Linked DNA regions of Mus musculus. The protein of the gene in region 2 interacts with the protein of the main gene of each other region in a biochemical or structural test. Links are inferred from orthologs where the notes say so. Each region holds a gene or a part of one and is shown on either strand. Other genes may lie near its edges. The genes, in order: Rab8a, Lrrk2, Map2k3, Lgals8, Mapt, Map2k7 and Rab5b.

Evidence for each region.
Region 1: of the proteins of Lrrk2 (region 2) and Rab8a, one has a biochemical effect on the other in vitro, tested with the Homo sapiens proteins (2 studies listed by IntAct). The link is inferred for Mus musculus from reciprocal best matches to the Homo sapiens genes LRRK2 and RAB8A.
Region 3: of the proteins of Lrrk2 (region 2) and Map2k3, one has a biochemical effect on the other in vitro, tested with the Homo sapiens proteins (2 studies listed by BioGRID). The link is inferred for Mus musculus from reciprocal best matches to the Homo sapiens genes LRRK2 and MAP2K3.
Region 4: the proteins of Lrrk2 (region 2) and Lgals8 form a complex in vitro, tested with the Homo sapiens proteins (2 studies listed by BioGRID and IntAct, with this or other methods). The link is inferred for Mus musculus from reciprocal best matches to the Homo sapiens genes LRRK2 and LGALS8.
Region 5: of the proteins of Lrrk2 (region 2) and Mapt, one has a biochemical effect on the other in vitro, tested with the Homo sapiens proteins (3 studies listed by BioGRID and IntAct). The link is inferred for Mus musculus from reciprocal best matches to the Homo sapiens genes LRRK2 and MAPT.
Region 6: of the proteins of Lrrk2 (region 2) and Map2k7, one has a biochemical effect on the other in vitro, tested with the Homo sapiens proteins (2 studies listed by BioGRID). The link is inferred for Mus musculus from reciprocal best matches to the Homo sapiens genes LRRK2 and MAP2K7.
Region 7: of the proteins of Lrrk2 (region 2) and Rab5b, one has a biochemical effect on the other in vitro, tested with the Homo sapiens proteins (2 studies listed by IntAct). The link is inferred for Mus musculus from reciprocal best matches to the Homo sapiens genes LRRK2 and RAB5B.

Annotation. Positions count from the first base shown.
Region 1 is NC_000074.6:72,159,871-72,163,999, forward strand, and holds the start of Rab8a (ras-related protein Rab-8A), read left to right. Parts: upstream 1-1,329; 5' UTR 1,330-1,488; coding exon 1,489-1,612; intron 1,613-4,129. UniProt on the Homo sapiens protein: The small GTPases Rab are key regulators of intracellular membrane trafficking, from the formation of transport vesicles to their fusion with membranes.
Region 2 is NC_000081.6:91,728,724-91,732,223, forward strand, and holds part of Lrrk2 (leucine-rich repeat serine/threonine-protein kinase 2), read left to right. Parts: intron 1-192; coding exon 193-451; intron 452-2,741; coding exon 2,742-2,930; intron 2,931-3,500. UniProt on the Homo sapiens protein: Serine/threonine-protein kinase which phosphorylates a broad range of proteins involved in multiple processes such as neuronal plasticity, innate immunity, autophagy, and vesicle trafficking.
Region 3 is NC_000077.6:60,930,909-60,934,853, forward strand, and holds the start of Map2k3 (dual specificity mitogen-activated protein kinase kinase 3), read left to right. Parts: upstream 1-1,145; 5' UTR 1,146-1,314; coding exon 1,315-1,363; intron 1,364-3,945. UniProt on the Homo sapiens protein: Dual specificity kinase. Is activated by cytokines and environmental stress in vivo. Catalyzes the concomitant phosphorylation of a threonine and a tyrosine residue in the MAP kinase p38.
Region 4 is NC_000079.6:12,458,939-12,463,042, reverse strand, and holds the start of Lgals8 (galectin-8), read left to right. Parts: upstream 1-1,304; 5' UTR 1,305-1,802; intron 1,803-3,726; 5' UTR 3,727-3,827; coding exon 3,828-3,869; intron 3,870-4,104.
Region 5 is NC_000077.6:104,229,936-104,234,235, forward strand, and holds the start of Mapt (microtubule-associated protein tau), read left to right. Parts: upstream 1-1,500; 5' UTR 1,501-1,672; intron 1,673-4,300. UniProt on the Homo sapiens protein: Promotes microtubule assembly and stability, and might be involved in the establishment and maintenance of neuronal polarity.
Region 6 is NC_000074.6:4,245,069-4,248,397, forward strand, and holds the end of Map2k7 (dual specificity mitogen-activated protein kinase kinase 7), read left to right. Parts: intron 1-474; coding exon 475-520; intron 521-626; coding exon 627-761; 3' UTR 762-2,588; coding exon of another isoform or gene 2,589-2,691; 3' UTR 2,692-2,829; downstream 2,830-3,329. Other genes in the region: Tgfbr3l (transforming growth factor-beta receptor type 3-like protein precursor), read left to right, coding at 3,215-3,284. UniProt on the Homo sapiens protein: Dual specificity protein kinase which acts as an essential component of the MAP kinase signal transduction pathway. Essential component of the stress-activated protein kinase/c-Jun N-terminal kinase (SAP/JNK) signaling pathway.
Region 7 is NC_000076.6:128,693,469-128,697,530, reverse strand, and holds the start of Rab5b (ras-related protein Rab-5B), read left to right. Parts: upstream 1-1,262; 5' UTR 1,263-1,345; exon of another isoform or gene 1,346-1,643; intron 1,644-4,062. UniProt on the Homo sapiens protein: The small GTPases Rab are key regulators of intracellular membrane trafficking, from the formation of transport vesicles to their fusion with membranes.

The DNA.
Region 1 (4,129 bases), on a different chromosome or scaffold from region 2:
GTAAGTATGCCCAGGAATTGAATACAATCCTCAGATTTAGCAACAAATGACTTACTTTACTGGCTGAGCCATGTAGTCAGCAACTCAGATCTTTTTTTTTTTAATTTATTTATTATATGTAAGTACACTGTAGCTGTCTTTAGACACCCCAGAAGAGGGCATCAGATCTCATTACTGATGATTGTGAGCCACCATGTAATTCAGGACCTCTGGAAGATCAGTAAGTGCTCTTAAACACTGAGCCATCTATCCACCCCCCCCCACTCCTTTTTTCTTTTTAAGATTTGAGTACACTGTAGTTGTCTTCAGACACACCAAAAGGGGGCACTGGATTCCATTACAGATGGTTATGAGGCACCATGTGGTTGCTGGGTATTGAACTCAAGGCCTCTGGAAGAGTAGTCTTAACCGCTGAGCCATCTCTCCAGCCCTCAGATGTTTATCTTAATGTGGCTTTATTTTATTTTGTCACTGTTCTCCCGTTACTCCGGGACTACACCTCAACATATTAAAAAACAGAAGGGAAAAAAAAATGCTACTCTGAAACCTAGGAAAGTCACTTCACCTGTCTTCAGTATACTTACCATAAAACGAGGAAAAGATTACCTACCAAGCCGGGCTGGTGTGGGGTGAAGGACCTTGACTTATTTTTAAGTATAGATAGCACCCGCAAGCACAGAAAAGAAAACAAAACAAAACAAAACAAAAAACGCTGCCATTACTTGGAAATGATAACATAGCCCTACCGGCGCTGAAGCCCTGGGATCGCTCACGGCAATGGCCGGCTTGCCTGTACAGCACCTAAGTAAGTCCAATGGTGGGCGCCAAGGCCGAGGAGCGAGTCTGCAGCACATCTTAACCCGCGCCACTTTTGCACCGCCGAAAATCCTCCTCAGAAGCATTACCACAGGTACTTCCTGCGCTTCGCCTCAGCGCCGGCTGCGGCTACGGCTGCTGCTGCGCAGGCAGAGAAGGCGGGAAACACGAGGCGTTCTCTGCGCGCGTGCGCTCTCTGCCAGAGCCAACCGTCTTCCCAGTACGCTTGCGCCTGTTCACCAAGCCCGTCCCTCCCACTCTCTCATCAACCAGCGCGCGGAATTGTTGGGGTCCCTCCTGTCGGGGGCAGGGCCTGGACGCTGAAGGGCTGAGGAGAAGGCGCGCACGGGAAGGCGGGGTCAAGATGTGACCACACCCATCGCTGGTCATTTGACGCCCTCACCCTCGACTCTCCAGCACTAGCCAATAACAAACCTCCCTATACCAAGCGTCAACCAATGGGCTGTGCAGTCGGCTGCTTCCGGCTCTGCGCCGCTTTCGCCTTTTTCCCCTGGGCTCTCTGCGACAGGCGGGGCTCCGGGTGGCGGGCGTAGGCCTGGATGATGCGCGGCGGGCAGGGGGCCAATAGGGGGCGGGATCTGAGATGATAGACGGGTCCAGCGACCAGTGGCGAGGCGCCGGCCGTACTTCCCGTCGGGGAGAGAGTGTAATATGGCGAAGACCTACGATTACCTGTTCAAGCTGCTGCTGATCGGGGACTCGGGGGTAGGGAAGACCTGTGTCCTGTTCCGCTTCTCCGAGGACGCCTTCAACTCCACATTCATCTCTACCATAGGTAGCGGGGCCTTGGGCGGCCGGTGACCAGGGCTGGACGCGCCCCTATGGGGCTGGGCTGAGGGATCGACTCAGGATCCACTCGGGCCGAGGATCCGGGAGGGTCACGGGGCTGGACAGAGAACCGCAGCGGCCTCCACCTCCCGCCAGGGAGTCCAGGCCGGGACCCTGGCGGGCGCCGGAGACCAAGGTGCAGACAGGGACATGCAGGCTGCAGTCTGAGGAAGAGCCTGCCCTGGGGTCCTGGCGCCTGTCAACTCTCTGTGTCTTTACATCAGACCTCTACACTGTTCTTCCGGGGAGACCCCCGTCTTCCAAAAGTGGAAACTGAGGCATGGAGGTGACACCTGACCTCGTAGTTTCCTATGTGGCAAGCTTGGCATGTGCAGTATCAAATCTGTAGTGTACTCGTGATGGGTGCTTTGTCCCTGGAGGAGGAATTTGAAACTGAGGGAGGGTGCGGCACGCACTGAAGGTCACAGTCTACAGGTATTAGGGATGAGATTTGAACCCAGGTGTGTCTGACTCCAAAATTCAAGGTTCAGCTGTTCCAGAGCTTCAAAGGACCAGCACCACTGATCCACATCTAAGTCAGGACTCCAACCCAAAGTCCTCCTGCCTTCTCTCTGAGGAATGGTGACAGTATCTGTCATCCTGGTGGGAATACAAGAGAAAAAGTTCCAGTAAGAAACTAAGTCCAGCCATGGCTACGTGCAGCCTTGACTGACTTCCTTTCACTGGGCCAAGAACACCACCTGAACAGCTTTTCCCCAGGGCTGCCTCACGGCACAGTTGAACAGAATTGGCTTGTGATGGCCCCAGTTCTGACGTCAAAAATGGTGCTGACCATGCTCCTTACCATGAATAGTCATGGCTCACATTGAGTGTTACCTGGAAGTAAATCCTGCCAAACAGAGTGACCTGGATGGTGTATGGTCCTGAAACAAGAGAATAGTCACTAGGCTTGGTTTATCCCTAGTCAGGATGTGGTTCCATTGTTGGAACCCTGGGTGCCATCTCCAGCACCCTGAAACCAGATGTGGTAGTGAACACCTGTAATGACAGCACTAAGGACAGGGAGGCAGGAAGATCGGGTGCTCAGGGTCATCCTTGGCTACATAGAGTGTTCAAGGCCAGCCTGGGCTGCATGAGACCCTGCCTTGGAAGGAAAAGGGAAACTGGGGGATGATTTCTGTGTAATGTCAACTAAGTTGTTGTCTCCCTGACCTGACCGTCATGTGATAATGCCATCTAATATCTCCTTCCCAGTCAGTGTTCTGAAGCAGTCGTGTGTCAGGCGTCAAGTATAGGGAACTGGACAGGGAATCATCATACTTGAACTCTAGGTTGAGCAAGCTCTAACCCTCACTGACCCAATTTTATTTAGAGTAGATATGGCACTGTCTGTCTTGTCTGGTGCCCTGGGTGGTTGAGGATTAGATCTATACAACCAGTGGAAGGTTCAGTCTGGAGGAAGCAGAGGGTTTGGGCACAGGTGCATTTAAAGCCTCTCCCCCCACACACACCCCCACCCAAACACTCAGCTTTGGAGTTACCCTCAGGTGAGGACCAAGCAGGAAGTGACAGTAGCTACCCACAGGCTCTGGTTTGTTCTCAACACAGACCTCAGTTTCCCATCCTCAGACACTTCCTAGTCAACACCAACATGGTGACATTAGTTCAGGGGTGTTTTGTTGTTGTTGTTCAATTTGGCATGCATGCATGTGTGTGAGCATGTTCCTGTGTGCATACAGGAACAGTCGGGGTTATTCCTCAATCTTCACCTCATTTTTAAAAATTATTTTATTGGGAGTGTATGTGTATGCTTATGCACATGTATGGGTCAGAGGACACCTTTTAAAGTCTGTTCTTTTCCTCCCACCATGTGGGTCCTGGGGATTGATCTCAGGTTGTCAGGTTTATGGGTGAGTACCTTCACCCACCAAGCTATCTTTGCTTGGTCTCTCACTGATCCTGGAGCTCACCAAGTTTGAGGCTGGATGACCAGCAAGCCTCAGGACCCTTCTTTCTTGTCTCACCAGTGCTGTAATGTTATGTAAGTTTATGCCACCATGCCCAGGTCTTCATGCTTTTGTGGCAAGGACTTTAGGGATTGAGTCGTGTCCCTAGCCCTTGTTTGTTTGTTTGTTTGTTTGAGACAGGCTAGCTATATAACCAGGCTGTTCTGGAACTCATGGAAATCATCTGCCTCTGGCTCCCAAATTCCAATGTCAAAAGGCAACTTACAGGAGTCAGTTTCCTCCTTCTACTGAGTAGGACCCAAGAATTGAACTCAAGTCATCAGGCTCAGTGGCAAGCACCTTTATCCACTGAACCATCTTGCTGACCTGTATTGCTTATTTTGCATCTCATATATGTTTGTTCAATTTTTCTTTTTGAAATACTGGGGATGGAGCCAAGGGCCTCAACACAGGTCAGCTACACATCCTTTTCCATCTGGCTGGCTTAAAACATTTTTTTTAAGTTTTTTTTTTTTTTTTTTAATATAGGTGAGTAC
Region 2 (3,500 bases):
TAGCCTTGCATCTGTGGCAATAATTTCATTTTATCTTTTATGTCTACTACAGGAATAAGTTTTGCCTTATTTCATTTCATTTCAACCTAATTTTGAGGTATGAAGATTGACCATAGCAAGCTCTGTTTTTCTGTCTAGCCAAAGAGAAGAAATTCAAGTTTTGTGTCCACTTCTTCTTTTTTGTGAAACTAGGTATGTGAGAAAGAGAGCAGTCCTAAATTGGTGGAACTGTTGCTTAATGGTGGTTGTCGTGAACAAGATGTACGGAAGGCCCTGACCGTAAGCATCCAAAAGGGCGACAGCCAGGTCATCAGCTTGCTCCTCAGGAAACTTGCCCTGGACCTGGCCAACAACAGCATTTGCCTTGGAGGATTTGGCATAGGAAAAATTGATCCTTCTTGGCTTGGTCCTTTATTTCCAGATAAGTCATCCAATTTAAGGAAGCAAACAAGTAAGTACCAATAAGAATGTGTCGTCTCTTACTTCAAGTAGACCCAACAGCATTGTTTTGAACCTAGGACTTTGTACATGCTACACAGACACTATCCCACCAATGCACTGTACACAAACTCAATCATCATGGTAGATAATTGTATTTTTTTAAATTTTACAATCTTTTTGTAGTAGATTATAAGCATGGTGATGTCAGTTAGCTTTTCCCACTCTTGGAATCTTAGTGTCTATGTTACTACTTTACATGTGACATATGGTCATAGGATATTCATAAATGTGCAAGGGTGAGCTGGTAGTAAATGATACAGAAAGCATGTGCTATATAGCAAGAACTTCACACATCAACGGTAATTAAAAGTGTTCTTCCTGAGGACCGTTGTTCACTACCTTTTGATGTTTTCAATCCATGTACTTTTGAATTTTTTTTTAAATCTAATGTATACAATGTTTTATTTGTATAGGGAAAGACATACACATAAAACATTTTAATTATTTACTCTTTCACTTATGATGTATTCTTAGACATCCAGGATACAGATTTTTATGTATGAGAATATACATGAAAACTATTAATAAACGTTATAAAAAGATTAGGGGGAAGAGAGAAATACTCAAAAACACAAAACAAAACAAAACAAAACAAAACAAAACAACAAACCATGGGAAAGCCATCCAGTGACTCCTTTGCAGTCACACAGGAGAATCAGGCAGCAAACTTAAATGTGGATAAACACGGACCAGAGAGGTTCAGACGGGAATTGTGAGGCCAGGGTCGGCAGTGTAGTAAGAACCTGGTCGAGAAAGGATTACAAACTTAACATTGTAATGGTGTTTTGATTGCTGAAAATTCCATTGGGTTGTGTTAATCACACTTAGGTAAAAATAGAACACTGTATTGAATAATAGTTCTACAAATGATGCCCCTCCTCTTCCCTCCGTTCCCCTTCCCTCCCCTCCCCCCTCTCTCCTTTTCTTCCATCTTCTCTTTTCCTTCCCCCATCTCTATATCCCCTTCTCTTCAGGGTGTCTCTGTGTAGCCCAGGCTGACCTGAAACTCTCTAAGTAAAGTAGATTGAATTTAAACTTGAAGGCAAACCCACCGTTGCCTTCTGAGCTGTGGGATCATAGATGTGAGCTACCTTGCTCACCTTTGTTCTCTGATTTCTGGCAGAATGGGTTTGTGACCTCGGATGTAAATTTGGTATTCCTTTAATTTCATGTGAAGATCTTACAGTGGCAAGTCTTGATGTAATTTTCAAAGTGTTAATGTCACTTGGGCTGGAAGATAAAATCACGATACCATTGGTTGCTTGTCTAAAGGAAAAATTTGAATGCATAGCATTGAAATATTTCTCAGGTCTTATTTGATTGACTCACATATTGTATTTATTATGAAGAAATCTCCTAGGGTTTCTGTAGATCAATGGTGACTGCCAGCACATTTCTTCTTGGTATAAAATAAATATAAAATGTAATGTAAACTTGAGAAGAGAATTGCCTTAGGGTTGAAATTCATCATAAGCAACTTGGGGGGGAGAGGGTTTATTTTCAGTGAAGCCTGCCAGAGGCAAGAGCTAGTACAGAGGCCATGGAGGAGGCTGTTTACTTGGTTACTCCTCATGCCTTGTTCAACTTTCCTTTATACAGCACTTAGGACTACCAGCCTAGGGATGGTGTAACCCACAGTAGGCTGGGCTCTTCCATATCAACCCCCAATTAAGAAAATGCCCCACAGGACTTTCTATCACCCAATCTCATCATGGCAGTTTTTCAACTGTGATTCCCTCCTTTGAGGATGACCCTAACTTGTGTCAAGGTGGCATAAAATAAGCCCGCACAGGTGTTAAAATTGTATCACATGAGCCACTGAACAAATTTTGTTTGTTACAAATTTTAGCATTGTCATAAGATTTCATAATCATGTTATTTAATTTTCTATAATCCTGCTCTGAACAGGCCACCTACTTGTTCTAGGTAAGTTGATTTGTCCTGAGAGAGCTTAATGAGCTTGCAAGTGGCATCACATGTGACAGTCCAACTCTGCCCTGAGTTAAGTTAGCTTCATGTCTGAAAATGCCCATAATACCCAAGCCTCATATAGCTGCAGCACAGATACTAAAATTAGAATGTAATAGAAAAGAGTATATGGCAAATATACACTATTACTGTATATAGTAAAGTTATTCTTCAAGGAAAAATTATTTTAAAAGCATCAGGTCTGTATAAGGAGCTTGAGAAAGGTTATGTTTATGCTGGATAATTACTGATTTCGTTTGATTTATTTTTAGACACAGGATCTGTCCTAGCGAGGAAAGTGCTCCGGTATCAGATGAGAAACACCCTTCAAGAAGGCGTGGCCTCAGGCAGTGACGGCAAGTTTTCTGAAGACGCGCTGGCGAAATTTGGAGAATGGACCTTTATTCCCGACTCTTCTATGGACAGTGTGTTTGGCCAGAGCGATGATCTGGATAGCGAAGGTATCTATTTCAAACAGATCCACTGTGGCTCATAGCTACACGCTGGCCTTGAATGCTGTAGCTCAAGAAACTGTGCGCTGCATCCCAGTGTGAACCAAAGGGCTCAGGCATGCAAGTACACACTTACAGCAAGATGACTCTCACACCGGAGTTGCTGTCCATGCGCTGATACCACTAGACTTTTGTGGCTCTGTCATTTTCTTAACCTTTATAAGTGAATGATGCCAGCCTTTCAGGGTTATAGGTAGAAAATCAAGAAATTCTAAGGAAAGAGTCTGGACTACACTTGGAAAGTTATTTCTTCTCTCTCTCTCTCTCTCTCTCTCTCTCTCTCTCTCTCTCTCTCTCTCTCTCTCTCTCTCTCTCTCTCTCGTTCCTTTTCTCTCTTTCTTTTCTTTTTGGTTTTTCCAGACAGGATTTCTCTGTGTAGCTTTGGCTGTCCTGGAACTCACTCTGTAGACCAGGCTGGTCTCAGACTCTGAAATCCTCCTGCCTCTGCCTCCCAAGTGCTGGGATTAAAGGTGTGCGCCACCATGCCCAGCCGGAAAGTTATTTCTTAACTTTATTATG
Region 3 (3,945 bases), on a different chromosome or scaffold from region 2:
TCTGAGTCACCCTGGTGCCCAAGAGCCTGGCACGGGACTAGTCACTTTACCCATGTCTGTGGCATGCTTTTCCTACTTCCTCTGTTCATTCCTTAAATATTTCTTAGGCACCTACTATGTGCATGGCTCTGGGCTAAGCCTTGGGATTCAGCAGAGGATGAGACATTCAGGATTCCTAATGGGGAGGGGCACGTGGCACGGGAGGAGGGCTGCGGTAGAAATCAAATATGCAAGCCAGGCATTCGGGGCCTGAGTGTTGGCCAGAGAGCTAAGACTTACTCCAGCTCCGACTGACTCCTTGACCTTGTGCTTCTTGCCCTCACTAGACCTGACTTTCCAATCGACCCCAGAGATTCCTGGTTAGTGTGAGGACAGAGGCTCAGCGACCGACGGCCGAGATGGAACCCCAGTCAAGGCTGGCAAAAGGTATTTCAGTGTTTGGAATGACACTTTGTTTAATCGGAGACTACTCCCCAGCCCGGAGAGTGGAGCTGCTATAATGTTACAACCAGTTACTTTGTCACTAGGCAAAGGTTAGCCACTGAATTCCCCGCTCCCTAGGTGCTGGCGTGCCAGGTGCTTGTAGAGGCTGGACTTAAACGCGTGCTCGTTCAGCAAGGCGCAGTAAACTCTTTCCCACAGTCGGTGAACACTCACCTGGCACGCGCCCGCCGTGGGATCGCTCTTTTCCTGCTGCCCTAGGAGGCAAGCCGGTGGTCGCCGCTCTCTTCAGGGGAGCACATGGACGCTCATCCTCGGTATGGCTCAGCCATTTAGGAGTCTAGTCTCACTCAGGGAACACTTTTAACCCCACGGAGCACATCGGCCCTGCCCTGCCCCCCTAGAGATCTTGGGATTTTCCAGATTGCGACCCGCACACGCTGTGCCATAGGGGGGCACAGGCTGGGGCACCCAGGACCACGCCAGCACAATCCCCCGAGTGGGTAGGGCAGTCATCTAGACGGCAAGAGGGCGGAGCCGAGCTGTACTAAGGGGAAAGCTGGGTTGGATTCCGGCTCTTGGAGGGTGGGGTTTGTGCGTGACAGTCCGGGCGGCGTCTGATAGGCTGGGGCCTTTTCAGGCGGGCCAATCAGTACGATGGGCGGGGCCTGCGTGGCGCCGTCGGCAGGCGTCCGGCGCTGCCCAGTGTGGCTTTGGCGCCGCCCGCCTCGGACGCTTGGAACCGTCGCGTCTGTGTCGCCTGTCGCCCATCGCCTGCCGCCGCTGCCAGCCACCAGCAGCCATGAGCGCGCCCGGCCCCGGTGTAGTCTGCTGTCCTCTAGATTAGTGCTCTCCGCCGCGACGGTCCGCAGCATGGAGTCGCCCGCCGCGAGCCCGCCGGCCAGCTTGCCTCAGACCAAAGGTAGGCTCTCCCGCCCTGTTGCGCGGCCCGTGCCACATTCAATTTGAGTCCGCCCGTGATCCTGGGCTCCCTTCCGGGCTGGGCACAGACGTCTGCACTCCAACCCAGGACTGGGTCCAGCCCAAGCCCGGGACCTCACGGGACCTTATTGGAATCCGGATCTTAGGCCGTGGGACTTCACCCAGGCAGGACCTAGTTCTCGCTCCACTCCCAAGTCTGTAGCCTCACCGTGAGCTCCTCATTTAGGCTTCCGGGCTTCATCCTGGACTCAGGGATTTCAGTGATCCCTGCTAGAGGGTCTTTGGGCTGCTCTAGCCCTCTCAGGCCAGGCTCTTGGATTTTGTCCAGGCTGGAATTTACTCTGGGCCCCAGGGCTGTGTTCCCAATGCCGGAAACCTGTCTACTCAGAGCTCCTCCACTCTTCCAACTCCTTCCATCCTTGTGAATCCTCCTTTGCCCCATGTCTTGCTGGCCTGCTCACTGGCTGCCTGCACTCCTCCCTAAGGCTGTCCCTGTAGAACTTCCTGGCGTCTCCACTTCGCAGCTCTGCCCATGCTACCTGCTACTCAGTTGCAGTCTTCTCACTGAGTTTCCCGAGCTGACCGATTCTTGCACCTAGTGTTTCTTAGTCTGCTCTTAGACGTGCTGTTTGGTCCTTGGGCTAGCAGCAGGCCAGGGGCTGGCTGTGCAAAGCTTGTCCTTCTCCAATTAACTGTCTTTCCTGGAAATTTCTGTGAGGTGGCAGTGGTGCTGCGTGGGCTGCAGCAGCAGCATTTGTCATGGGAAGTGAGGGGGACAAGATTTGGAGGTCAGAATGCTTTTTTTTTTTCTCCAGGAAGAGAGAAGGATGTTTTTTTTTGACATGTCAGAGACTCAGTAGGGTTGATCTGCAGAAAAGATTTCCAAGCTGGACCTGGAGATATGAATGGGTTGACCCTCTGAATTCTGAACTGCTTCACCTGGCTAGTCTCTGGGCATGTCTAGGACTTATTAATGAAATGGATATTAGGGGCGTGATGTGAGATTGAATGTAGAGTGGTTTGAAGCAAGCACGTCTGAGATGATCGAGAACCCAGCATAGCGCCCAGCACATAGTAGGTACCCAGGGGCAAATAGTTGTTGCACTTCCTTGACTATCTCCAGCTTTCCTGCTGCAACGCTGGGCCCAGTTTTGGATTGCAGCTGCAGAGCACAGAGGACAGGGATGGCGGGCACCTAAGAGGGTACTTGTGCAGTGGTGGCCTTCTCTCCTTCTGACCTAGGAAACCTCAACCTCAGGAGTCCTGGTCCTGGTCAGGTTGTCCTGAGCAGGCGGGGGCCTTTTGGGTCCCCTACAGCTGGCTTCCATGGCCCTGCAGGAGCCTAGTGGACGGGGTAATTGCATCTTACATAAGTGGGAGGCCAGATCCCTGACCATTGCCCAACTTCTGTGAGTAACTAGGGAGGCACTTATTGGGGGAGGTGGCTGGGGAGGACCTTGCAGTGCAGACCTCGTGGAACTTGAGAACCAGGAAATTAGATGCTGCTCCACTCAGGAAGGGTTTGGAAGCAGTGTTTGTTTTGGAGGCATTTCAGCTCTTCCAGGCAAGAGATGCCTCACCAAAATAAAAGTTGCAGTTGCAGATCACAGCCGGAGAGATTGTGAGTGATAGGGAGAGACCATGGGCTTTCATGTGCTTGGTGACTTGAGGCCTGGCACTGGACGTTCCGGGCCTCTCTTCTGAGTGTGAGTTTGCAGATTGTAGGTTAGGTAACATGGTATTGGATGGTTTGGGTGGAGGCTTTTTCCTGGGCCAGAATCCCTGTAGCCTTTTAGGGGTCTGGAGATAGCTGTAGTGGGAAACTGACAATATCCATTCACCAAAACTCTAAGAGGTTTTTTTTTTTCTTTTTTCCACGTGTTATACATTGCTTTATTACTCATCACCCCATTTGCCCATAAACAGAGGCTGGGGAACACTTACCATTCACAGAGGCTGCACAGCTATGTTGGCAGAGCACAGCTACAGCAGGTTCTATGATGATCTCCTTCCATCCCGTTCCCATGTGAGGTGCTTAGGGGAGCCATGGGACCCTGGGACCCTGGCTATCACCCCCATGTTCACTGGAGCGTGAGGTCTGCTGAAGCAGAGGACCACCTATCATGCACGCAGTCTTTACAGTGGATGCTTCCCTCAGTGTGACCCTGCAACTGGTGCAAAGTGGAGACCTTGGCGAGGCCATACCAATGTGGACCCTGACAGGAACTCTTTTTCACCTTTGCAGGAGACTTAAAAATTACACACACAACCAGGCAGTGGTGGTGCACGCCTTTAATCCCAGCACTTGGGAGGCAGCAGAGTCAGGCGGATTTCTGAGTTTGAGGTCAGCCTGGTCTACAGAGTGAGTTCTAGGACAGCCAGAGCTACACGGAGAAACCCTGTCTTGAAAAGCCAAAACCAAAAAAAAAAATATACACATGATATATATATATATATATATATATATATATATATATATATATATATGCATGCCACATGTAGTATACTAGTATACTTTGTGGGTATCAGTTCTTTCAGTTCAGTCTTGTGGATCAACCTTCC
Region 4 (4,104 bases), on a different chromosome or scaffold from region 2:
AACAGGTTCTCCAGGGAGGGAGTCGGAATTAAAAAGAAAAAAGACAACAAGACAACACTGTGGCATGACCCCAGCGAGTTCTGAGGCTGAGTCAGGCTTATAATGTTTTTCCAGTCTGCTTTGATACCAGTTTAAGTACATGCAAAATAATATCAGTTCTGGGTCAAGGACAAGCAGGACTATAAACACAAACAGTCAAGGAACAAAGTCCTGTGATCAATGTTTCCAGGCAGGGGCTTATCAAGATGACCAAGATATCTGAGCCTACTTCCCTCTCCTAGCCCAAAGTCACATTCTTGACTGAAGCCTACTTCTTTGCTCTAGCCCAAAACGATATTCCTGCCTGAGCTTACTTCTGTGTCCTGGCCCAATGTTTAATTCCTGCAAAGTTTCTAGAAACGGGCTCCAAAAGCTCTCCACACCCTATCTCTTACAAACCCCAGAAAGTGTAGTGAGAAGCCTACCACACCTAGTAATAACAACAGAGCTAAGACAACATACATCAAGGGTTAACTCCAGCTATTAAAGTAGAATCTTGAGGAGTTAATCAAAATTAGAAAATGGACATGAGGAAGGAGAAAAAGTAACGAATCAGAACACGAGGTTGCTGCTAAGAGGCTTTAAAAAAATAAAATACAAGTTCAAAACAAAATAAAACACACAGCCAGAGAAAAAGACCAAATGGCTATGTCAAACATGTCCTTTAAAAACAAACATGGCTAATATCTAGAAAAGAACATAACCTTGAGGCCATTAGGACATCAAAACTAGGTAGCTCAGTCAGCCATTCTCAGCGCCCTACAGTTTTATTTAAGTTTGTTCGTACAAATACGGGGCAAACCGTCAGCAGTGCAGCGCCCTGACTATGCAGCTCAGTGCTTATTGACCATCTACTCTGCTCAGAACTGAGCATCAGTGTCTAAACTGTTTCCTAAGGAAGCGTTCCCTGTAGTAAACTCCAGCACAGAATAAGCGGCCAATCACCCAGTGTTGACATGTTCTGGCTACTGCTCACAGGATGGGGTTTCTTGCAGGGACAAAGAAGAACGAATTCCTCCACACACAAGGCTAGTTATTGGCAATGAGTGGCTGCTAAATCTGATTGGCTCACAACATTGTTCAGTTCTGACCCAAGGCTGCAAAGGAGGCAAACCCAGGAGTACCCCGGCCACACCCCCCACGATTATTCTTTAAGTGTATTTTTAACACCCTTGAGATCAGGTATCTGTCCCAGAGTGACCCCGAATTCCTTAAGTTCTCCAGTATGACATTGAACTTGTGGTCCTCCTGCCTCCACCTCGCAGGGCTGGAACTACAGGGGTGCACCCCGACCGATTTGTGCAGAGCTGGGTGGAAATCAACCTGGGGGCTTCCAGCACGTGAGGTGAGCCACACCCCAACCCCAGCCAGCCACTCCCACAGCCAGCCATAGGTCTGCGTGTGTGACATTAAGAGCCCAACAGCCCCAGCTCGCAGCACTCGGACGCCCCGCCCCTGCAGTCGTTCTCGCGGAAACGGCCGCGGGCTGACCCCGCCCTCTGCCTGTGGCGGCTCCGGGAACCGGACGGCGTCCGTCAGGGGACACAAGTCGGAGCAAAGCGCTTACTACCACCGGGGTGAGTCCTGGCGACTGCGGGCTCAGGGACATCGGGATACCACTGTTCCCGGACCGGAATCCGAGTGTGGACACGGCATCCCGCCGTCTCCTCCGTGACACATGCACGGGGCACCGGACACCGGGAGCGATCGTGGGTTGAGGCTTGTACTGGGACCGTAGTGTCGGGACAACGCTGACTGCTGCGGTGAGGGCTCTCCGCTCGGCGGCTCACCTGCCAGGGAAAGGGCGAGCATCACCTGGATCCCCAAGAATGACAGGCCCAGGGACAGTTGACAGCTGTGTCACACTCCGTTATTCCAGACACGCACTTTAGCATGCTGCGTCATTCTATCCCAACGTTAAACACGGGGAAACGCAATTTCTCTGGGTTTGGGAATCGTCCTAAACCTAAGCCACGGCTTGTTGTGACTGACGGTGATACGTGTCTGGAGACTTCGGAGAGTAGTTATTTAATGCCAACCTAGGCCATCTTGATCTCTCTCCGGGAAAGATATCAATTATGGATGTGGTGATGGCAATTCCTTGTCTCCTTTTTGCTCTAGTTCGTGCTTCCTGGATTGCACAGAACAGAATTAAAGGCTCAGAGGATTTGAATAAAATGAGTTAGTGACAGATACTAGGTAGGGGTCTAGGGTGGTTTTTAGGGGTGTAACCAAGAGAGATGCAATTTTCTTTTCTCCGGTAAAATAAGAGATTTGGCGAGTGCCTATTGTCTACAGCCTGGCGGAACTGTAGGAAGTAAAAGACAGGAAACTCTAGTTTCATTTTCTGGCTTGGTTCTGGTTTGAGTCATCAGGACTAGAGGTAGTAAATGATTCAGTGGGCAGGGCGCAGTGCCGAGGGGGCGCTCTTATCTTTCAAAACCGGGCTGATGCAAAACATTGCATTTGGTATTCCCCGGAGTAACTCTGCCACCCCCACCCCACCCTCAACTTACTTAATTTGGCTGGTTGAAGAAGAGCAATGTTTTCTAGCAATAATAGCTAACACATACAGAGCTGTTTTCTGCTATTTAAACTAGTACAATCCTCAGGGCAATCCTATGATGTGATTCCTACTTGTTTTACTAATAGGAAAAGTTAAATGAATATTGTCCTGGTTTCAAAGCACTGCTTGAGTGATATTTGTGTCTTGGTTTTGTGTTATTTCCTAGCTTGTATTTTATTTGTATTTACTGCTTTTGATTTGTTTGGTTTTGCAGTGCTGGCACAGAACCCAGGGCCTCATCACACTAGGCAAGCTCTCTATTCAGCCCTTAAACATTATCTTGAGACAGGATGCCTTAGTCTCTATTCTCCTGCTGTGAAGAGACACCATGACCATAGCAACTCTTTAAAAGGAACGCGTTTAACTGGGGCTTGCTTATAGTCTGAGAGGTTCAAGTCCATTGTCACCATGACTAGAAAGCACGTGGCATGCAGGCAGACGTGGTGCTGGAGAAGCAGCTGAAAGTTCTACATCCGGATTCCCAGGCCGCAGGAAGGGAGAGGCACTGGGCCTGGCTTGGGCTATACCTCTTAATCCTTTTAAATAGTTCCACTCTTTGGTGATTAAGCATTCAAACCTATGAACCTATGGGAGCCATTCTTATGTGAACTGCCTGCCACACGGGATCTAACTCACCTAGGCTAGGGTCCAATTGTTCTTCCTGTCGCAGGCTTGCTCACAAGTGGCTTCGATCACAGGTATTGTGCCACCACACTTACAGTTTTAGTATTTTTAACAGGAAACTTCATGTAATTTCCTCCTTACATATTTTTTAAATAATTCCTGCACTGATCACTTAAAATTATTTCATTTAAGGCCAGGCATGGTGGCACATGCCTTTAATCCCAGCGCTTGGAATGCAGAGGCAGGCAAATTTCTGAGTTCAAGGCCAGCCTGGTCTACAGAGTGAGTTCCAGGATAGCCAGGGCTACATAGAGAAACCCTGTCTCAGAAAAAAAAAATTATTTCATTTCTAAGTATGTTATGAAGACTATATGGTAGGACTTTGGTTATACTAACACTTATTTGGTAACTATCCGTAAAGTAATATAATTTACATAGAAAAGTTTGATGTAGAGAAAAATCACGCATGGCTGTTTTTCTATATTGTTTTTACACAGGACAAGTTTTTACTTTGAGTAATCCTTAAATGAAGAGTGGGTAAAGTGTGTATACGGAAGAGAGACTCCAATCAACAATATCAATAAGTTGAAAAAGAAAAATGTTGTCCTTAAATAACCTACAAAATATCATCTATAACCCGGTAACAGATTTTTACCTTTTTTTTTTTTTTTTTTTTTTTTTTTTTTGCCTGTGGTAGGATTGACAGGAAATACACTCAAGTTGTAATTATCACTGGGGCCAGGCATGAACACACAGTTCAGTTAGCACACACACACACACACACACACACACACACACATGTATGCATAAACCTTGACGCTACAACACACACATGAAGGGAAGGTCTGGGGACAACTCTTGGGAAATTATATTCT
Region 5 (4,300 bases), on a different chromosome or scaffold from region 2:
ATAATTCAGTAATTAAGCTCATATGGGAAAAAATGTTTGTGGTGCTAGAAAACTGAACCCAAAGTTATCTCAAAATTTTATTTTGGGGGCTGGAGAGGTGGCTCAGGGGTTAAGAGCACTGACTGCTCTTCTGAAGGTCCTGAGTTCAGATCCCAGCAACCACATGGTGGCTCACAACCATCCACCCCCCCAGCCCAGAAGTGTGTTTGTTTGTTTGTTTGTTGACTCACTTTCACCCTGTAATACAATTCAGGCTGGCTTGGATTCTGCTATATAGCCCAGGCTGATCTTGAACAAGTCTCAGCCTATCTGAATGCTGGGATTACAGATGTGAGCCAACACACCGAGCAGGTACAACGTTGGAGTTTTAGAAACAACTGCTGGGATAGCAGTGCACACCTTTAATCTCAGCACTCTAGAGGCAGAGGCAGGCAGGGGATCTCTGTGAGCTCCAAGCCAGCCAGGGCAACATAGTGAGAACCTGCCTTGAAAAATAAAGAAAAAACGGCATGCAAATGAAAGCTTCAAGACAAGTTTTCGCCTCTTTGGCAAGAAGTAGGTGCCTGTCTCTCTTCCTTGCATTTGAACAGGCTCCAGCTGTCCAAGAGAATTGAGCTTTGGGGAGGTAAGATATTAAGCTAAAGCCACAGCCCACGCCTACGTAGCTGGAAGGAGAACTAATGACCAATTTCAACCGGAAGCTTGACATCCAGCAGGTGGCCATCTCCAGCAGGCACCTTAAAAATTCAGCTCTCACGCTGTACAAAGGTGTTTCAATAAACGAGATAAAAATAACTCTGTGAAAATGCCTTGCAGTGTGTGTGGTAAGCATCATTAGAACTTACCTATTTAAAGATTTTTCTTCGCTAGGGTCACAGTCAAGATACCTAATGGGTTTGAATGCTCCTTGATTTAAAAACAATTGTTTTTCCACGAAAACGCTAAAGTGTATTACGGTCAAGTTAATCTGTTTCGAGAAGATTTGTCAAGGAAATCATTCACTTTGGCCATTAACAAAAACAGGTGGAAAGAAAGCAAGCGAACAGCTGGCCCTGGAAATAGAAAGTGCGCTCTATCTGGAGGGCCACATTTTAGGAGACTCGGGGAGCCTGTAGCACTTGGGGTTCACGGTGTACCGCCTGGAGAGCCAGCGAGGGTGAACTGAAAAGCGGACGATGACCGACACACCGCTCTGCCTGGACCCCGCGGGGACCGAGGGAGGGGACCCCTGGACTAGACAAAGGCTGCAGCCCCGGGAGGCCGGGTGCGCGTGCGCCACGGAATGCGCGTGCGCGCGGCGGTCAGCACCGCGGCCCGAGGCGTGGCGGGACCCGGGGAGGGAAGCGCGGAGAGGGGCGAGCCGAGCGGCGCGGAGAGAGGAGGGTTGAGGGGCGCTCGCGTGCGCCCCCTAGCGGTCGGAAGGGGAGGTGCCCGCCCAGGCCTCGCTGCCCGCCCCTCCCCTAGGGAGGTTCGCGCTCCCGTGGCTCGCGCCTGCGCTGCCCGCCGGCCTCCAGAACGCGCTTTCTCGGCCGCGCGCGCTCTCAGTCTCCGCCACCCACCAGCTCCAGCACCAGCAGCAGCGCCGCCGCCACCGCCCACCTTCTGCCGCCGCCGCCACAACCACCTTCTCCTCCGCTGTCCTCTTCTGTCCTCGCCTTCTGTCGATTATCAGGTAAGCGCCGCAGCTCTGAAATCCAGTCCCCTCTGGCCCTGTGCGCCGTCCTCCTGCCACCCCTCGCCCCAGAGATGGATTTAGGGAGCTGGGCATCAATCAGGCGCAACGGCGGGGGCCTCTCTGCGCCCTAGGCGCTGGGGAGCTGGGAAGGAACGCGTGCAAGAGATGCACGCACGCGAGCGAATGCGTGTATCTATGAGTGCTGGGGTCCCCACTATCGGCTCCGCGCAAATGAGGGGGGCTGTGCCCGCAGGGTGGGGCGCGGATGACGGTGACCTAGGGAAGGGGTTGTTCTGTAATCTGGATCTCAGCCTTTTGCCGCAATGGGCGTGGGTCTGTGAGTGTGCATGGGGGTCCAACGACGACCCCCGAAACAGAACCTGAAATCGGATTTCTCTGCTCCTGATTGCCATCAGCCCTAAGGAAGGTGTGGATCGGGTTCTAGAAAAGATGACTGCCTTCATGTCTCTCCACCTCCCTGACAGCGATTCTGACACGGCCTTCACTGGCCCTGATTTAAGGCGGTGGCCCGCCCCCTCCCCTTTTCCTCCTTCAGAAGCCGGCAGGGGACATTTGGGGGCTGGGAGGAATCCGGAGGATGGGGAGGGGTCCAGGCGCTGTCACGTTAGTCGCCCTTCCCCCTGCGCGCGCTTGGTACAGTGACAGGGGCAGCGCCGTGCCCGAGAGAAGGTAGTGCGCGGATCCCAATGTGGGAGCTCGAAGAGTCAGGGGTCACCTGGCCTCGCGGTGTCAGCGGGCTGGCTGGCAGCGGCTCCCCGCTCGAGGGCGCGCAGCGTTGCAGCCAGGCACAGACCCACGCGAGGGCTGCAGGTGCATTTCGGGGCGCGTTTCTTTCTCTGCGTTCTGCGCCGGGCTCCCGGCATGTGCGCTCCCTGCCGGAGGCGCGGGCTGGCGCGCAGGGCTCGCCCCTCACTGCGGCAGTGGGTGTGGACCTGGGTGGGCGAGGAGGGGGGAGTACGATGTGTCTCCTCCCGCTGCCACCCCTCTCCGTTTTTTCCCCCCTCTCTGAACGCGAGGTGCCATCTTTTTGCGGCGAGTCACGTCTCTATCGTAGCATGCCAAGAGCTGTGGCCAGGCTTTGGAGGACCCGGCTTGGACCCATGTTAAAGAACAGGGGGTGATGAACACGGAAGCCTTGGCGTTTTGCCTCTGCAGCGGTGCGCACCAGAGCGTTCACCTGAGGTCGTCTAGGGGAGCTCGCTGCTTTGTTCGTCGTGTGATTTAGGATCTGCGCTCCCAGCCCTGGTTTTTTGGGGGAGTGTGCGGGGGGAGGCGGGAAGCTTTCATTCGACGAGGATATTTGCCTACGCACTCGGAGCAGCTCCATCCTTTTTTCGCCACTCTTTTCAGACCCTTTGTTGGATCTACAGACTTGCGGCAGCCCACTCCCCAGTTCGACCCAGAGCCACATGGGTGGGATTCGAGATAGACTCTCGTGTGCAGGAGCCCTCAGAGGAAGCACATCCCTCCCCACACCCAGGCCATCCTGAGGACCACACCCCACTTGTGTTTCACTGCTAGGGGAGCCAGATAACCCTCGGGAATGGGGAGATTCGGCAAGCTCAACTCCGCATCCCCACCACCACCACCACCGTTGAACCCTGTTGCCTCTCCCGGTGGGAGAGTGTGAGGAGAGGGTATGAGATCCCCTGGGATACTGCGGCCACACCCATCCCTCCCAACCCAAGGAGAGAGGGTTAAGGGTTGCCATAGGAACCACACCAGCCAGAGGAGGAACCTCTGGGCGTTACCTCACCCCCTACCTCCCACCCCCTACCTCCCACCCCCCCCCTTACTCCGCGGAGATTTAGAATCCTGGGGTAGTCTGATAGTGCCTGGAAGACACGAGGAAGGGGCCCCTCATCCCTGATGCGAGCATCATTCTCTTGGCACTGGCAACCATAGCCATCCAGAGAGAGAGAGAGAGAGATGCCTCTAATGTATTTTATTATAAGCGTGCTGACTGATATTATTTTATTAATATCATTTAAATGAGGGACTTTCATTTTTAAAAAAATCCACATCTACAACAGCCCTTGAAACCAGAGAGGGATAGAAAGCTAAGAGGTCCCAGCCTCCCCACCGTACAGTAAGCTCGGTCTTCGAGGTTTTCTGGTTAATTTTACCGCTGAATACTGGTGCGGGTAAGCAGTTTTGAGACCGATGGATGAGCTTCTTAAGGGCCGAATTGCCCACGTCGACTGCTCACTCAGATTGATGTAGGCTGGGGGTGGAACGCCCTCTCCCGATCAAACCGCGGCCTGAGGCTGTGGCATCGTGGCCGGGCCCGCCTGGCAGAAATTTCGCGAGCATCTGAAAGATAGGTTCAAATACTACCCATCCCTCGCCACACGACGGGCTGCTGGGAACAGGATTCTTAAGCTAGAAGAAGCCAGGCTCTTGGGCTGGATGCGGAAAGGGGAAGGCTGGGAGGGGGGGCTGACTATAGCGGGCCCGTTGGGCAAAGGTGTCACAGCGGAAAAATCAGCGGGAGGGGGAGGAGACAGAACGTTTTACCCAGTGCAGAAACAAAGCTCAGATCACAGCGTCTTCGAACTCCCATTTTGCACTGTGTTGAGGGGTCGAGTGAGGTACTGTGCTGGC
Region 6 (3,329 bases), on a different chromosome or scaffold from region 2:
GGTGTCCTCATGCTACTGGGGAGGGTGGAGGCTGGGAAAAGGGGACGGGATGAGATGGGCACAGCTACAGGTACACCCATGGCTTGTGGCTGTAGACAGGAGTTAAAGCTGGAGCCCTGGGAGTCACTTTTTGGGTTTGTTTGGACCTGTGGGGAACCGCTGGCCCTGTGGGTGTCTGGCATGGCGACCCTGTGGCTTTGCAATGGAGGTTGTGTAGGAATATCACACTTGAGTCTTAACTTTCTCTGATGTGACCCTCACATTGCGCGTGGTTCCAGCTCCCCAGCTGGGTCTTTACCTAATACTATATTGGGCCAGGAGAGTTTGTGGATCCCCAGCCTGGTGGAGCCTGGCTGTGAGCAGCTGCTTCTGGCTTACTGGAGAGGGAGGGCCTGAGCATAGATGGGCATCCAGGCACAGTCGGGCTTCATTTTTCTGACTCTCATTTCTCTTTTCTCCCTGCTCTTTGTCCAGCCTTACTAAAGATCACAGGAAGAGACCAAAGTATAATAAGCTACTTGTGAGTACCTCTCCCCCAACCCCCACCACGTGTGAAGTCCTCCGGGTCTCAGTTGCAAGACCAGGAGGACTGACTCCTCATAATAAGCAAACTCTTGGGCCTACAGGAACACAGCTTCATCAAGCACTATGAGATACTCGAGGTGGATGTCGCGTCCTGGTTTAAGGATGTCATGGCGAAGACCGAGTCCCCAAGGACTAGTGGAGTCCTGAGTCAGCACCATCTGCCCTTCTTCAGGTAGCCTCATGGCAGCGGCCAGCCCCGCAGGGGCCCCGGGCCACGGCCACCGACCCCCCCCCCAACCTGGCCAACCCAGCTGCCCATCAGGGGACCTGGGACCTGGACGACTGCCAAGGACTGAGGACAGAAAGTAGGGGGTTCCCATCCAGCTCTGACTCCCTGCCTACCAGCTGTGGACAAAAGGGCATGCTGGTTCCTAATCCCTCCCACTCTGGGGTCAGCCAGCAGTGTGAGCCCCATCCCACCCCGACAGACACTGTGAACGGAAGACAGCAGGCCATGAGCAGACTCGCTATTTATTCAATCATAACCTCTGGGCTGGGGTAACCCCCAGGGGCAGAGAGAAAGCCCCTTGTCCCCATCCCCCCAAACTCCCAGTGTCTGTCCCCTCCACCTTCTCTCGCACACATGCTTGCTCTACGTCTTTCCTTCTGTCCCCTCCCTCTCTACCACTGTCCCTTTCTGGTTCCCCTGTCTCCCTCCCAGCCTCTGAAGCCTGGGTGCCGCCACTCTACCCTCAGTGGAAGGAAGCCCCAGGTTCATCTAGGCTTCCTTAAGTCTTTGTCCTAGGATGGCTTTGTGGGCATTGTGACTGCAGCCAAATGGTTGCTGTCTCTGTGTCTGTCTGTCTCTCTTTGATCTCAGGGGGTCCTTTTGGAGTTTATTGTATTTTATTGTACTTGGTGGGGGTGTGTTGGGGGGGGGGTGTCCTCATGGGGTCGGTACCTTCAGAAAATTTTACCAAAGTAATGTTTAGCTGCTTGTGGTGGCCCCCTCTCCTCCATTGCCTCAGGCATTGGGGGTTGGACTGCTTGCTGCTCCTTGTCATTTCTGGCCTAGGAGAGGCCAGGCTCCATGGGGGACCCTCACATGGGACTGGGAGCTGCTGACAGTTTGGGGTTGAGTAGAAGAGCTCAGGTGGCACAGAGGGAGACCAGGGGCCTCAGCCACACGATGGCCTTCAGGGAAGGTGTATGAGGGATGCAGTAGAGAGTAGCAGGTAGCAGGGAGGGACTGTTGGGAACAGTGACAGGAGGGAATCCTGCCAAGGGGCAGGAGGGGTCCCGAGAAGTCAGGGATTAGGAGTGAAGGGAGTAGATGTGGAGGTCCGAGCATGTGAATCAGGGACGAGACGGACAGGCGTGAATGCAGGGGAGGCCAGAGTATTGGGATGCGACGCGACTTACTCCCAACATGCCCCTGAGCATGCTTTAGCTCACCTAGAGCTGACCAGCTCCAACCCAACCTGTGGCCTGGACTGGGCCAGGTGCCTGTCCCATTGTCCTGCAGTTTCGAGGACAGAGTGGGGTATGTTTCCTTTTTGTTGGTGATGCATGCAGTTCAAGTGGACAAGAGAACAATATAACAAAACAAAAAAATTTACAACCACAAATCCCAGCACCAAAGTTGAGAAACCTTGCTGGAAGTAGCTGATGCAACCATACGTAGGCTTAGGTGACACTGTGGCTCTTAACTGTCCTGTTGACGCCTCTTCATCCTATTCTCACAATGCCGCATGCTTAAATCGTAATAGAAGTCATCTTCTATGCCCGGGTAGGGTAGGGCACCCTCTCTCCTTATCTCCTGTGTTGGGGAGGCGGAATGAAGTAGGGAGAGAGTAGCAAGCCCGGCCCCACCCTTACCATTCTGAGGCTGGCCGCAGCATGGCTAGCCTTTGTGTGTACTTAGGTCACATGGCTGGTCCCAGGGCCAGCACAGGCCCAAGACTGGGCCTGATGGTTTTATTTTTATTTAACTTTATTTTCTGTGTGTTGTCTGTCTGTCTGTCTGTCTGTGTTGTCTTTGTCTACTGCCCTCTAATGTTAAGTGGGAGTCTGGAGGAGTCTCCCACTTCCCCACCTTCTCCCAAGTCCTTCCCTCTGTCACCAGCCATCCCTCAGGCCCAGGCAGAGTGGGTCTCGGGCAGGTAGGGACCTGGAGTGGCCTGGTCCCACCCTCTGACCTCCTCCTCAGGCCACCAGTGTTGCCCTCTTCCCTTTTTAAAACAAAATACCCTTGTTTGTAAATCCTTAGACGCTTGAGAATAAAACCCTTCCCTTTTCTTCCGAGTCTGGTGTCCTAAGCCTGGTAGAGTGTACAGAGATATGGGAAGGGCCTGGGAGGAGGGCTTTTAGTGTGGTTAGGGATGACATTCATGGGAAACTAGCCGGGCCGGGAGCTGGGTGGGAGGTGTTTGGAGTGACCGAAGGCATCAGGCAGCTTTGTGAGGGGCCCCCCTTGTAGAAATTTCAGTACATCAAGAAAGCCCTTATCCATGGCTGGCCTTGAGCATGTGCTCAGATGTCAGCCCCTCCATCCTCCGCCCCCGCTCCCTGCTTCCCAGGGTGGCAGCCTCACCAAGGCCAGGGCTACCTACCCACACCTAGAGGGCTGGGTACAGCCCAGCCAGGTGCTCGCTGCCGGTCTGGAGCACTCGAACCTGGACAGGCCGCCATGGTGGGCACTGCGCTCCTGCTCCTGGCCCTGCTCCCTGGGACCTCCAGTAAGCACGGTACACCACGTGGTACGTAGAGGCTGCCACGGGGTGGGGGCATTGTGTCCCACTTGC
Region 7 (4,062 bases), on a different chromosome or scaffold from region 2:
AGTTACAGGCAGCTGTGAGCAGTGGTACTGGGAACAGGCCTTGGGTCTTCTACCGGAAGTGTATGCTTCTCTAGCTTGCCTCTAGGCCCTAGGTTCAATCCTCAGTACCGAAAAAAAAAAAAAATCCTCAGCAAAGTTGTCTAAATGTTTTTTCACATTTACAAACAATTCAGAAAATATCAATGTGAAAATATTTAGGAGGCTAAAGTGTCTTCAGACTACCACTTTCTGTTGTCATGGCAATTCACCCCAAAACTACTGTTCTCTAGTGCGCCACTAAAAAGAATTTACAAGATAAAAGTTGTTTAATTTCCTGGTTTTGGGTCTTTACTTTTTTTTTTTTTTTTTTTTTTTTTTTTTTTTTTTGGTTTTTCGAGACAGGGTTTCTCTGTGTAGCCCTGGCTGTCTTGGAACTCACTTTGTAGACCAGACTGGCCAGACTCAGAAATCCGCCTTGCCTCTGCCTTCCCAGTGCTGGGATTAAAGGCGTGCACCACCATGCCCAGCAGGGTCTTTACTTTCTTAATTTGACACAGAAAGCAGGGCACGGGGAGAAGAGAAGGTTAATGCTGGTATCATTGTTTTTTGTTTTTGTTTTTTTGGGGGGGGGACATCGTTGTGTAGCTTGGAACTCATGGAGATCCTCCCGATTGCTAGGATTAAACATGTGGGCCACCAAGCCCAGTTTACTCCCCTCCCCATCCCCCTTATACTGAGGTCTTGTTAAACTGAGTATCCCGGGTTAGCCTCAAACTCAGAACTGCCTCCACCCCAATCCACTGTGCTGAGATTGGGAGTGCCACACCACACCCGACCAAAAGCCTTCTTCACTTCTTCACTAGCCTTGCCTGCCTGTCAAATTCGGAAATTTCCCAATACTGGTTAAAATTTCCTTTTGACCCGCCTTCTTCACTCACCTGATTAGATGTTTACGAGTCGAGAGGCGGGGGAGGGGTGTCACGGGTGTTGAGGTTCTATTGGCTGACGCACATGCCTGTCAGTGATGCACTGCCCCCTTTCCCAGGAGCTCTCTCTTTAATGGCTACTTATCCCGTCAATCTTCAAGGCTTCTCGTGTAGGTATTGGCTTGCGGCCTCGCCAATCCAGTCTCTCACTTGTGCTAGTTGGTGATAGTCCCTCAGAGCCCGCCTTTCTCCAGAAGATTGGCGGGCGGACGCTCACATAGCCCACCCACCACGGTAGGCGGGTGATCTTGCGATTGGCTGGAGCCGCCCCGGCGAGGAGGAGGAGGAGGAGGAGGCGAAGGGGGTAGGAGTTTGGTTGAGCTGCAGCTGTTTGTCTGTTCCACACAGGCTTGGGCCCGACGGGGGATACGGAGCCCCAGGTACCGAGCTGATGGAGCCCACAAGGGCAGAGGCGGAGGTCCCGAGAGGAGCGCCGCCTGGCCTGTGGCAGAGGCGGGGCGGGCCGACGTCAGGGCTCCAGAACCTCCTGGAGAGGGCCGAAGGGGCTGTCCCACAGGCCTAGTGGGCGCTGAGGAGGTGATCGGCAGGGCTGGGAGCCGAGCCTCTAGTTGGGAGGCGGCTGGGTTCTGGCTGTGGTGGCCGCTCGGGGGCCGGGCGCGGGGACCCGGAGCCGGTGAGGACCAGGGCCGGCCTCGGGACTCTGAGCACCGCGGTGAGGAGGGAGGAGCTGGGGTCGGAGACCAGGCAGTGAGGGAGGGGAAGCCAGCCCATTTGGCTGGAGGTGTGGAGGGGACAGTGCTACGCCCAGCCCCGAGGGTAGCCGAGGCTGGGTCTCCCGAGACATCCACTGTTGGGGCTCTTAGCCGAGAGAGGCATTCTTTTCAGGGAAAGTGACTGTTGAAAGGGGAACTAGGGGTACTGGTGTTGCCGAGAGGGATTTGGTCTCACTGAAGTCAATGAAGAATGTAGAAGACCAAAGTGGAAGGAAGTAGAAACGGTTTGCTATTAGTAATGGGAACTTCTGGAATGATGGTGAGGGGAGGCTCAGTATCTTGGAAGTTCCTTACTCTTCTGTTCCTTTAGTGCTTGGGTGTGGTGATTTGAAGTTTTGGGGTACTTCAGGAATAGGGAATGAAGACAAAGGTAAAATTATGTATTATTCCATGGCGCCTGGCAGCTCTACGTCCAGCCCCCCCCCCCCACACACACACACCACTTTAGTTTACCCTGACCTCATAGCTAGTCATGACTGCACTCCTGTTTCCTTTAGGTTTGCTATTGTATTCGTTGTTTTTCCTATTTCATCTACTGTGAGAGAACTAAGAAAATTTGGGAGTGCTTTGCTCAGTCTTTCCCACTTCATAATGTGATCTGTGGTGACTACGCTTATTTAACCTAGATTTGAGGAACTCTGTCATTTGCATGGAAAGGGGCAAAGCAATCCCCAGCCATTAAAAAAAAAAAAAAAAAAAAAAAAGGACCATGTTTATTGAAACTTCTGTGAGACTTGCACTTGAGCATTTCCTAGATAGTTAATGGGACAGACTATTCACGCCAGGAACTGTGAGGTGATATCCCTGAAGGGATTTGGGGAAGAATTGAGAGGTTAGCTACCAGAAGGTTGGCACCATCCTTTCTTCTTTGCCCACTTATTCAGGAACGTGTGTGTGTGTGTGTGTGTGTGTGAGATTAGTTATTTAGGTCAAACCTTGAGGTATTTAGAAAGATGGATTATAGAGAATGAAGAAGTCTTTAAATTATATTATATGTAATAACCTGCATACATATGTGAGCCACAATGTCAGAGGATAACTTGTGGCTGTTTGGTATTCAAACATGGCATGTGTGTGTGTGTGTGTATGTATGCATACATATATACACACACACACACATATAGAGGGAGGGGTTTGCTAACCTGTCAAATTTTTTATAGATTGGACCCTATTGGTTTCTCCCTTAGGGTTCTACCTCCTCTTCCTCCTCCTCTTTCCTTTCTATACTAATGTTAGTGATCACTGAATTTATTTATTTTTTTTACCACATAGTGTCCTGCATATATACCACATGCATGCAGGACCCCTCAGAGGTCAGAAAAGGTACTAGACCCGCTGGACAATTAGGAGCTGCCGTGTTGGTGCTGGAAACTGAACACAGGTCTCTTACAAGAGCACTAAGGGCCGCCAAGCCATCTCCATAACTTGTATCACTACATTTCTTAATTATCAAAGTAACACATACATATATTAAAGTGTTTAAGCTGTACAGAAATATATAAAATCTGAGTCCTTCTATACATAGCTTATTTCATTTAGGACAGTTAGAGGTATTAAATAAGACTAATCAAGAGCAGAATACTATGGAAAGAATGAGACCATCATTTAGTGAGCACATGAAAAAAACCCAAGCAAAGACAGGTTTTTTTCATGTGCTCCTAAATGCTGTTCTCATTCTCTCCACGACATTCTCTTGGATGACACTCTGCTATTTATTGTGTTCCCTTTGCCGTTCATCTTGCCTTCTATCAAATTCAGAACAAACATAGAGCTGTCCTTTGAGTTATCATTTGCCTTCTTCAGTGTATACACATAGTGGTGCACTGGGTAGTCTAGAAACCGCCCAAATGCATAATAAGCAAGACTTTTATAGGCAAGAAAGAAACAATAAGGGGAATAATTTTGTTTAGGATAGTTGTTAGCATCTCTACTAGAGTGAAGAATCAGAAACCCCTCGTTCATCCACATTTTCACAGTACTTGACTGTCTCTTCCTTATCTCAGGGAGATGGTCATGGTTCCAGAAGAGGGTCTTGTACCTGGCTTGGTATAGTGACCCAAGAAGTTCCCATATTTCTCTGAATTTGAACTTGGACTTTTTTGACTTTTTGAAGCCCTCTAATATGGTCATTGCACGGTGTCCAGCAAAAACCTCAGTTTACCCCTCCTCCCACTTTCTCACCTACACAGTCAGTCCTGGAGAAAACTATTGGGATGTGTGTATGTGTGTTCACCCTCTGTAATCTTTGCCATCCTTTTGTTTTGTTTTGTTTTGTTTTGTTTTTCGAGACAGGGTTTCTCTGTATAGTCCTGACTGTCCTGGAACTCACTTTGTAGACCAGCCTGGCCTCTAACTCAGAAATC